3 linked regions of the Coturnix japonica genome follow. The protein of the gene in region 1 interacts with the protein of each later gene in a pairwise test. Links are inferred from orthologs where the notes say so. Each region holds a gene or a part of one and is shown in the gene's direction. Other genes may lie near its edges. The genes, in order: NAV2, ING5 and RBM15.

The links.
Region 2: the proteins of NAV2 (region 1) and ING5 interact in binary tests that used the Homo sapiens proteins (3 or more experiments, as listed by UniProt). The two-hybrid records come from large-scale screens. The link is inferred for Coturnix japonica from reciprocal best matches to the Homo sapiens genes NAV2 and ING5.
Region 3: the proteins of NAV2 (region 1) and RBM15 interact in binary tests that used the Homo sapiens proteins (3 or more experiments, as listed by UniProt). The two-hybrid records come from large-scale screens. The link is inferred for Coturnix japonica from reciprocal best matches to the Homo sapiens genes NAV2 and RBM15.

Annotation. Positions count from the first base shown.
Region 1 is NC_029520.1:1,594,579-1,598,232, forward strand, and holds part of NAV2 (neuron navigator 2), read left to right. Parts: intron 1-285; coding exon 286-577; intron 578-1,479; coding exon 1,480-2,182; intron 2,183-3,654. UniProt on the Homo sapiens protein: Possesses 3' to 5' helicase activity and exonuclease activity. Involved in neuronal development, specifically in the development of different sensory organs.
Region 2 is NC_029524.1:3,638,869-3,641,562, reverse strand, and holds part of ING5 (inhibitor of growth protein 5), read left to right. Parts: intron 1-139; coding exon 140-275; intron 276-436; coding exon 437-498; intron 499-1,532; coding exon 1,533-1,578; 3' UTR 1,579-2,694. UniProt on the Homo sapiens protein: Component of the HBO1 complex, which specifically mediates acetylation of histone H3 at 'Lys-14' (H3K14ac) and, to a lower extent, acetylation of histone H4. Component of the MOZ/MORF complex which has a histone H3 acetyltransferase activity.
Region 3 is NC_029541.1:1,765,682-1,769,435, forward strand, and holds the start of RBM15 (RNA-binding protein 15), read left to right. Parts: upstream 1-1,293; 5' UTR 1,294-1,426; coding exon 1,427-3,754. UniProt on the Homo sapiens protein: RNA-binding protein that acts as a key regulator of N6-methyladenosine (m6A) methylation of RNAs, thereby regulating different processes, such as hematopoietic cell homeostasis, alternative splicing of mRNAs and X chromosome inactivation mediated by Xist RNA.

The DNA of each region.
Region 1 (3,654 bases):
CCTTTATAAACCAAATTCTTTTTCTTTCTTTTTTATCTGTTTGTTTGTTCTAAAGGGATCAATTCGTATGTTTTTTTATATTTTTGCCTACCTCATTAGAAGAGATATAACGTTGTTGGGCTCTTTTCTTACTGTGACTTTTCCTATTCAATGGCATGTTGTGTTTACTGGTACTTAGAGATGAGTGCTGACTTTATTAATCAGTTTAATGATTCTCTTCTGTGAAGCTGCTCAAAAGGAAGATGTGCTTATGAAGGTTCTATTGTAATTCATTATCTGTCCTAGACTGATGCAGAAAAGCATTCCCAGGTCGAGCGGAATTCCTTATGGTCCAGCGATGAAGTCAAGAAATCAGACGGAGGATCTGACAGTGGCATAAAAATGGAGCCAGGGTCTAAATGGAGGCGGAATCCCTCTGATGTGTCTGATGAATCTGATAAAAGCACTTCTGGTAGGAAGAATGCTGTTATTTCGCAGACGGGTTCCTGGCGACGGGGCATGTCGGCTCAGGTTGGCATTACCACACCAAGGACTAAACCTTCAACCACCTCGGGCGCATTAAAGACACCTGGAACAGGTGAGAAAAGGTGTAAGATACAAACAAAAAGGGCACTCAGTGGGGAAACAGTCTGAATACTTTACAGAGGTAGAACCTGAACTTCAGGTAATCTTGTCTTTTTATTTTTAGGTATTTTTTTAAACCTGTACGGCAACTCGTACGTCCACATTTCTGTTTCTCTTCATTTTAAAATGAGTATTTTGTAGTTGTACACCATGAAAGTTGTTTTTTAGACAACCCTGGTCTTAAGCCAAGCTATTTTTTGGGCATAGTGTTAACATATGAGGCTTGAATAATATAATTTTAGCTTTTGAAGTCACGATTAACTTTAAGAATATACAGTGAATGTGGTTGAGGAGAGGGGTTTTTTTAGCCAGTACTAAACCAGCATGCTAATTTATAATAAAACACCTTTTAGTTCTGGGCTTTCTCATAAATTTAGAGTTGATTTTAGCACTTGCAGATGTGTGAATGAAAAGTGATTGAATTTACATAAGCAAGTAATGTAAGTTTAATACCTCTTATTTGATTGTGTGAACAACTGTAACACAAAGAAAGTTGAAGTCACTACTTATTTTCTTGAAAAATACATTATAGGAAAATAACTCTACCTAACACAGCTTCTTTCTGCTGATAAAAAGGGATCAATCTGTAGTAGCTACAGAGCGCTGCTAATCTGTCACTATTACATAAGTTTGTTCTGTTTTTCGTGCTATGAAGGGCAAACATGCTACTTTCTCTGACAAGTCTGCATGTATAACTCATTAGAGTGGCCTTTAAGTTCAGTGCAGACTAGATCATAGTTTTTAACCACACTCTTGTGGCTAGCACGCTTTTGCTTTTCATGCTGCTTTGAGTTTCATCATTTGCTTGCTGTTTTCAAGTCATTAAATATTAGAATTCTTTTTCTATTTTTGTAGGGAAAACTGATGACGCCAAGGTATCAGAAAAGGGTAGACTATCTCCTAAGGCTGGACATGTTAAACGTTCCCCATCAGATGCAGGACGCAGCAGTGGTGATGAATCCAAAAAGCTTCCCACAAGTAACTCTAGAACAACTGCTGCTAATGCTAATGCATTCGGATTTAAGAAACAGAGCGGGTCAGCCGTAGGCATGACTATCATTACGGCCAGTGGGGCAACTATCACCAGTAGATCAGCTACTCTGGGAAAAATCCCAAAGTCATCTGGACTCATGGGTAGGACCGCTGGTCGGAAGACTAGTGTTGATGGCTCACAGAACCAGGATGATGGCTACTTAGCGCTTAGTGCCCGAACTAACCTTCAGTATCGTAGCTTACCCCGGCCCAGTAAATCAAGTAGCAGAAGTGGAGCTGGGAATAGATCAAGCACTAGTAGCATAGACTCCAACATAAGCAGCAAATCAGCTGGGTTGCCTGTCCCTAAAATGAGAGAGCCGGCCAAGGTAATTCTTGGAAGCTCTCTGCCAGGATTAGTCAATCAGACTGATAAAGAGAAAGGGATTTCGTCTGACAACGAAAGCGTGGCCTCATGTAATTCTGTTAAAGTGAACCCTGCATCACAGACTGCTTCTAGTGGAGCTCAAAGTACTCACCAGCAAGGAGCCAAGTACCCTGATGTGGCCTCTCCCACTTTGCGCAGGTAGGCAATAAATTCATTGATTGTGAAATGATGTTAGTTAGAGCTGAATGGTCCAGGACTCTTTGAGCCAGGTCTGGCTGTATTTTGAGGAGCGCTTAGTGTCCTACATGAAGGTCTTTGTATTTAATTTCACATAAACAGTTGGGCTAGTGTTGTAAATACACAGAGCACACTGAGACAAGAGCAAGAGTTTAACATATGGAAAAGAAAAGCAATCTGTCTGGTAGAAGTACGGGCAGTTGTGATACGAGTCTCTGTCATAAGAACTGTTGATTGGACAGGCTGAATAGGTGCATATGGTGTTCATATGACCTGGGCGTACTCAAGAACAGAGGAAGTTCTGCTCAGGGCATACACAGCCATATATCTTCAGGAGCTCTTGGCTAGAAATGCTATAGTCCTCTGCTCTGAGGACAGTCCAGTAGACACCTGCTTTGTAAGATTTCATCCCCAGTATGGCACACCTACTTTGAATAATTTCATCCCCAGTACGATGCGCTGTTGATATGGAAATAGCAAGTCCGTATAGATATGGGTGAGCAGGGTTGATGTTGCGAAAGTATTATTCAGTGATTCAATGAAGAAACACCAAGGATGGATTTGGAACCACAGTAATAGTCTCTGGACTTGAGAATAGGGAGTGAACACAAAGAGATTCAGAAATTTTGCAGTTCTGTATGTCTGATCTATGATCGTTTATTCAACATTGATTTTCTGAACCTAAGATACAGAGTTTAGATATAAAATAGCTTTTGTAACACTCATAATAGCGGGTTATTCAAATACAAAGAAGCCTAAAAGAAATTCCTGTCTAAGCTGGGTTGAAATCTCTTATCTCAGTGGTATTTTTGAACAGGTGTCTTACTTGCCTTCTATTTCTCCATCGTTGCCCCACACGTTACTTTAACATGAAAGCTGAGTTGGGCAGGCATTAATTTCTTGACATCAAAGTCTGATATTAGTGAAAGGTTTCATTAATATAATTTTTCAGTTTAATTTGACATCGAGTAGCTTGTCTGTTTCAAGTTGCAGTGTTTTGCATTTCATTTTGTCTTGACACCATGATACCCATACAGTTACGCTACATCATCCTGCTTGCAGTGATGTGATAAAGCTGCATTCCATCTGAAGCACCAGTGCAAGCATAATGGCTGTGATGGCAGCTTAGGCTAAAGCTTCATAGAGTTGTAAGCTGTTTCTTTTTAGATGAGTGGTTTTCTTTGAAGAGCATTTGGCGAGGGTAATTCCAGATACTTCATTTGTTTTATTCCTAGTTATCTTTAGATTAGCCATGTCTTGTAGGATGTTTAATCTTCATCAGTGACTCCTTTAAAATGAAAAACACAGATAGACCTTTCAATTCTAAGGCATGCTGCATGGCAAATGCAGATTTTCAGTGTTGTATACCTCGGCACATAAATCTGGAAATTCAATTGATTTTTTGATTGCAGATTGATTTATTTTTTGATGAA
Region 2 (2,694 bases), on another chromosome or scaffold:
GAATAATATAATTGTGTTCTGTGAAGCAAGGAAGGAGGCATTTCACCTGTCTGTCATGTGTTTTTTTTAAAGGCACTCTGTTAATTCCAATATATTCCATTGGTTAAGTGGCAAGTTGAAAAGTTGTTTTTGTTTGCAGCTCCGAGTTTGCTGACACCATCCTGTCAGTGCATCCCTCAGATGTCCTGGACATGCCTGTGGACCCCAACGAACCCACCTACTGCTTGTGTCACCAGGTGTCCTACGGGGAGATGATTGGCTGTGACAACCCAGACGTAAGCACTTGCTTTATTGCTTTATCGTCTAAATGCACTCTGTATCTTTTGAGACAGACAGTGAAATTCAAGGGGGTTACTTGCTCATTTTATCATCCAAAGTGAATGTAGCTGGTGAAATGCTAAGCATCTCCTCTGTGGATTTTTCCTTTCTTTTGCAGTGCCCGATTGAGTGGTTCCACTTTGCTTGTGTGGACCTCACCACCAAACCAAAAGGGAAATGGTAAGGACATGCAGGTTTTTGACTTCTGTCAGGCTATAGTTTCTCTCCAAAGGAATCACAAAAAGAATTGAAGCCCCATGGTGACCCTTCCCAACAAAGGAACTTCGTTCTTGTGGTCGGAGTTTTACACCATGTTGGGTTTGGGACTATGAAGGAGTGCAGAATTTCATGATAAGCAGGGCAGTCCATGAGCTTAGGCTTTTGTCAGAGTGTACAGCTTACATCTCATGTTTGCATTTGTTGATGTGATTAAGGTTAGGAAAAGAATATTTTCTGTTCTGCTTAGGGGAGCACAATGTAAGACTACAGCAGTTCTTCACCTATTTGTGTGCTATTTTAGAAGGAGTCCTAGGCTTTTTCCGTGCTTGCTTTCTTTTGCAAAGGAAAAAAGCTTTGCTAAACGTTGGCTTTTGCAATTAAAATACCACGCTCTTCAGTTTGCATAACAAAAGCAAAATTTAAAGAGGAAATGCAACGGCAGTACTGCATGGAGTGGGAACAAGTGGTAAGACTTGGTCATTGCATTTCAATCGGATATGGCGGTGGCAGCATGCAGTTGAATGACAGTTGAGTTGTTGAGTCTGCAGACTTTTAAAGACATGCAAATCCTTCTGTTTGGTTCATCTGACTATAAGATGCATGTTAGAATCGAGGTTAAGCAGAAGTGAGCTGCAGCCATTTGCAATCATTGCTGGGGCAGAATATCATTTTTCCTTTGACTGTAGAAGAAGCTGATGTACCAGCCTTGAGAAATTTGGTTGGAATAGCTTGTGGGTGAATGCAATAGAGCCCCTCAGAGCTGTGAGGGGCAGGTGAGCCCCTGTAGCCTTCCAGTGCTGTCCCTTCTGCCCACCAGTGTCCATACGGTTCGTTCCCTCTGCTTAATATTGCTGCATGCCATGTGAAGTGTTGCAGTTGGCTAAAATTAACACCGCCTCCACTCATTTCCAAGTAATGGAAAAGGCTCCCGAGTAATATGTTGTTAATTTTAGGAACTAATTAACAGCCAGGTTTTTTTTTCTCTCTCTCTGTAGGTTTTGTCCACGTTGTGTTCAGGAAAAAAAGAAAAGCAAGAAGTAAAGGGGAATAACCTCCTCTGAGGCGAGAAGAGTTTTAATATATTCCTTCCTTCATGTTGCAATATCATCTTTGATTTTGATTGTGATTTTAAAAGCTGCCCTCCTCCCATTTCTGATACGCTATTTAATTACCCAGCGGCCAGTTGTAATTCCTGTTCTTTTGTAAGAAAGTGACTTTGGGAAGGGAGGAATTTGCCACAGGGATTTTATTTATGTTACTCTGGCACTGCACTGACATCAGTGTTACTCCGAAGTGCTAGAACAGCCCATAGTCTGCTTGTGTTTTAGGAGTCTGTTAAACCCTGAGAGGCACTGCAGGACATTGAGATACCCAGCCTTCGGTGTGATGCTGCCTTCGGTGTGATGCTACCATCGCTGAAGTCATTCAGACCTGGAGCTTAGCATGGCAGGAAAAGCAATTCTCTCTCGTGCAGCCTACAGGAAAGGATTATCTCCATTGCTCTGGTGTGATGCCCCTTTGTTGTGCAGTTTTGTAGTACAGAGAGGATCGAAAAAGCTGATTAGCTGCTCCCAGTGGCTGTTTCCTCAGAGCCAAATGCTGTGCTTAGTATTGGCAGGATGAGTACGGGAGAGAGAGAGAGAGAAGACCATCCTTAGTATCTTCTCCTTTGGGGGAATTTATTCTGTCTAACTTTACACTGCCATTCTTTTACTTGGTTTTGCTCATATCCACAGCCTCAACAGAAGCAAGCTGTGGCTTTTAACCTCCTCGTGTCTTCTGGAACAAAACCTTTAAATATCAAAGGGGTTTTCCTGCAGTGCTGACAGTAGTACTGAGAGAGCAAGTTACCTTTCCTGTCAGTTTTTGTTGCTTTAAAAATGAACTTTAAGTGTGTTACTGTGAAGTTGATACCCAGAGTATTGTGGCAGGGGGTCCGATTTATCCATGCAGTAAGATGAAGGCTTGATGTTCTTATATCTCAAGCTTTAAGGGGAGATTCTGTTAGAGCAGTGTGTACATGCCAGTGATGATGCAGCAAAGCTGAAGGGCGGCTGTGTGGTAGCGTGGTGGCAGTTTGGTTCTTGGGTAGCTTTTGCTATGAAAAAGTGCCATTAGAGAAGGCAACGCAGCAGGAATGTCTTTAAGTCACTGCTT
Region 3 (3,754 bases), on another chromosome or scaffold:
CAGGTATTATGAACGCCCAAAACCCCCCCGGTAAATTAATGAACCCAAATATCCCCATATAATGAACCCAAACACCCCTCAGGTAATTAATGAACCCAAATATCCCCCAGGTAAATTAATGAACCCAAACATCCCCCAGGTAATGAACCTAAATACCCCCCAGGTAATTAATGAACCCAAATATCCCCCATATAATGAACCCAAACACCCCCCAGGTAATTAATGAACCCAAATATCCCCCATATAATGAACCCAAACACCCCCCAGGTAATTAATGAACCCCCAAACCCCCCAGGTAATTAATGAACCCAAATATCCCCCATGTAATTAATGAACCCAATCACCCCCCATATAATGAACCCAAACACCCCCCCCATAATGAACCCCCAAACCCTCCAGGTAATTAATTAACCCAAACACCCCCCATGTAATTAATGAACCCAATCACCCCCCAGGTAATTAATGAACACCAACACCCCTCCATGTAATTAAGGAACCCAAACACCCCCAGGTAATTAACCCAAATACCCCCAGGTAATTAACGAACCCAATCACCCCCCATGTAATTAAGGAACCCAATCACCCCCCAGGTAATTAACGAACCCAATCACCCCCACGTAATTAATGAACCCAATCAGCCCCCATATAATGAACCCAAACACCCTCCATGTAATTAATGAACCCCAACACCCACCAGGAGACCAATCAAAATCAAAGCGCGCTTGACTGACAGCCATATTAGCCAATCCGCAAGCTCCTACCCGCATCCAATCGGGTGCTTAGGGAGATTTTCTCGTCCAATGGTAAACGAAGAGCGGAGCGTGGGCAGCATCCCGCGCTTCTGCAGGAGTGGCATTGGCTTCAACCAATCAGAACAAGGCAGACCAGGTTGGCAGTGACCAATGGGAAAAGGGGGCGGGTAAAGCGCTGCTCGCGAGAATTTGAGCGGGACAACGGGAACCCGCGGACCAATGGGGAGCAGGGGCGAGATAACTGGCAGGTGAAAGGACCAATTGGAAGGAGGAGAGAGTTTCGCCCAATGACCAATGGGAAAAAGGCAGAGCCGCTCCTAGTGACAGGAGAGCTGGACCAATCAGAAGGCCGCGCCCTTTCTAACTATCCAATGAGACAGCGGGGCGGGGCGGATGGGGGGCGGCTCTTCCCGGCGCGCGAGGCCGGCCCATAGACAGACATCTCCCTCAGCCAATAGGAACGAGGATCGGCGGGGCGGTGGGGCGGGATTTCCGCCCGGCGGGAGAGAGAGGGTGGGGTGAGGCTGCGAGCGGCCAATGGGCGCCGAGGGGGCGGGGTCGGCGGCGGCCGCGGCTTCCAAGATGGCGGCGGATGCGTGAGCGCGGCGGTCGGTCCGTCGGTGAGGCCGCCGGGGCGCAGGGCCGGGCGGGAGGCGGCCCCGCCGGGCACCGCCATGAAAGGCAAGGAGCGCTCCCCCGCCAAAGCCAAGCGGTCTCGGGGCGGAGGGGGCGGCGAGGACTCGGCCTCATCCTCCTCCTCAACGCGAGAGCGGAGCAGCAAGAAGCCCAGCGGCTCCGGCGGCGGCTCCAACGGCGGCAAAGCGGCGGCGGCGGCTTCGAACGATAACAACAGCGGGAGGCGGGGCCCGCACCAGGACAAGGCCGCACGGACCGAGAGCGGGGCGGCCACGGGCACGGGAGGGCGGCACGGGTACGGCGGGAAGAGCACGGAGCCGTCACGGAGCAGCAGCAGCCGCGGGGGTGAGTCCCGGACGGTTGCGGCCCAGTCGTCGTCGTCTGACAGCGGGGAGTACAAGACACTGAAGATCAGCGAGCTGGGCTCGGCTCTGAGCGACGAGGCGGTGGAGGACGGGCTGTTCCATGAGTTCAAACGATTCGGAGATGTGAGTGTTAAAATCAGTCGCCTCCCGCCCGGTACCGGCGCTGCGGATGAACGTGTGGCTTTCGTTAACTTCCGACGGCCTGAAGATGCACGAGCCGCTAAACACGCCCGTGGTCGCCTCGTGCTGTACGACCGGCCGCTGAAGATCGAGGCCGTCTACGTGGGGAGCGGCGGAGGGAGCAGCAGGAGGAGGAGCAGCCGTTCGCCGGCGCTGCTGGACAAGGAGTCACCCTACGGCACGGCAGCCGTGGGGCTGGCGGCGGCGGCGGCAGCTGTACGGCATCCCGCAGCTGGGGCGACGCAGCGGGCTTTGTCCCCCGCCGGCAGCGGAGGGGCGTTGGGTTACCGGGACTACCGGCTGCAGCAGCTCGCTTTGGGCCGCTTGCCGCCCCCTCCCCCTTTGCCCAGGGAGTTGGAGAGGGAGAGGGACTATGGGGGTTTTTATGAGGCGCGAGTGCGGCCGGCCTATGGGCTGGAAAGGGTGGCCAGCGTGGCGGCTGCTGGGGGATTCCGTGGAGGAGGAGGGGGTGCTGGAGCTGCCAGTGAGGAGGAGATCAGCCCTGAGGATGACCAGAGAGCCAACCGCACGTTGTTCCTGGGCAACCTGGACATCACCGTGAGCGAGACAGATTTACGTCGAGCTTTTGATCGTTTTGGGGTCATTACTGAGGTGGACATCAAAAGGCCGGGGCGCGGGCAGACTAGCACTTATGGGTTTCTTAAGTTTGAGAATCTGGACATGGCGCATCGAGCCAAGCTGGCCATGTCGGGAAAGGTGCTCCTGCGTAACCCTATCAAGATTGGGTATGGTAAAGCCACTCCAACTACCAGGCTCTGGGTGGGTGGCCTCGGGCCTTGGGTGCCCCTTGCCGCCTTGGCCAGGGAGTTTGACCGTTTTGGCACCATTCGTACCATTGATTACCGCAAAGGTGATTCATGGGCCTACATCCAGTATGAGAGCCTGGACGCGGCGCAGGCGGCCTGCACCCACATGCGTGGCTTTCCATTGGGTGGGCCGGATCGCCGCCTCCGCGTTGACTTTGCGGATACCGAGCATCGGTACCAGCAGCCCTACCTGCAGCCCCTGCCTTTGCCCCCTCCTGCTCATTATGAGCTCGTGGCGGAGGCGGCTGCTTTTGGGGCTCACCGGGGGGCCCCACCCGATCCTCTGCGGGGTGCCCGGGACAGGACGCCACCGTTGCTCTATAGAGACCGTGATAGAGACCTTTATCCCGAGACAGAGTGGGTGCCACCCCCACCCCCTGTACGGGACAGGAGTAACCGAGCAGCTGCCTACGACCCACTGGAAAGCCTAGAACGCCGTCGGGATGGTTGGTCCTTAGAGCGGGACCGAGGGGAGCGGGAGTTGGGCAGTAGTAGGGATCAGCCTAGGAAACGGAGGCTGGCTGAGGACGGAGGCCGGCACTTGGATCGCTCTCCGGACAGCGAGCGCTCTTCTTCCTCTCGGAAGCGTCACTGCTTGACCACGACCACACCACCAGACCGCAGCCCTGAGCTCGTCGGGGGGAGGGAGCGTTACAGCAGCGACCCGGAGCGTTCATCGTCTCGCTTGCTCCTCTTGGAGCGGCCCTCTCCCATCCGGGAGTCACGGAGGGGCAGCTTGGAGAGGGGTCAGAACGAAAAGCGTGACCGAAAGAATTCCGCTGAAAGGGAGCGGAAACATCGCACTTCTGCTGCTGCTGCACAGGAGTGCAAAAGCCCGGCCAAAAAGGATGAACGTGCTGCAGAGGGAGGCGGTGGAGGCTCCCGCCTCAAACCTCCACCTCAGAAACAGCAGCAGGACGGAGCATCGCAGGCCGGGGGAGCCCCCAAGCTGTGCTTGGCGTGGCAGGGGATGCTTCTGCTGAAGAACAGCAAT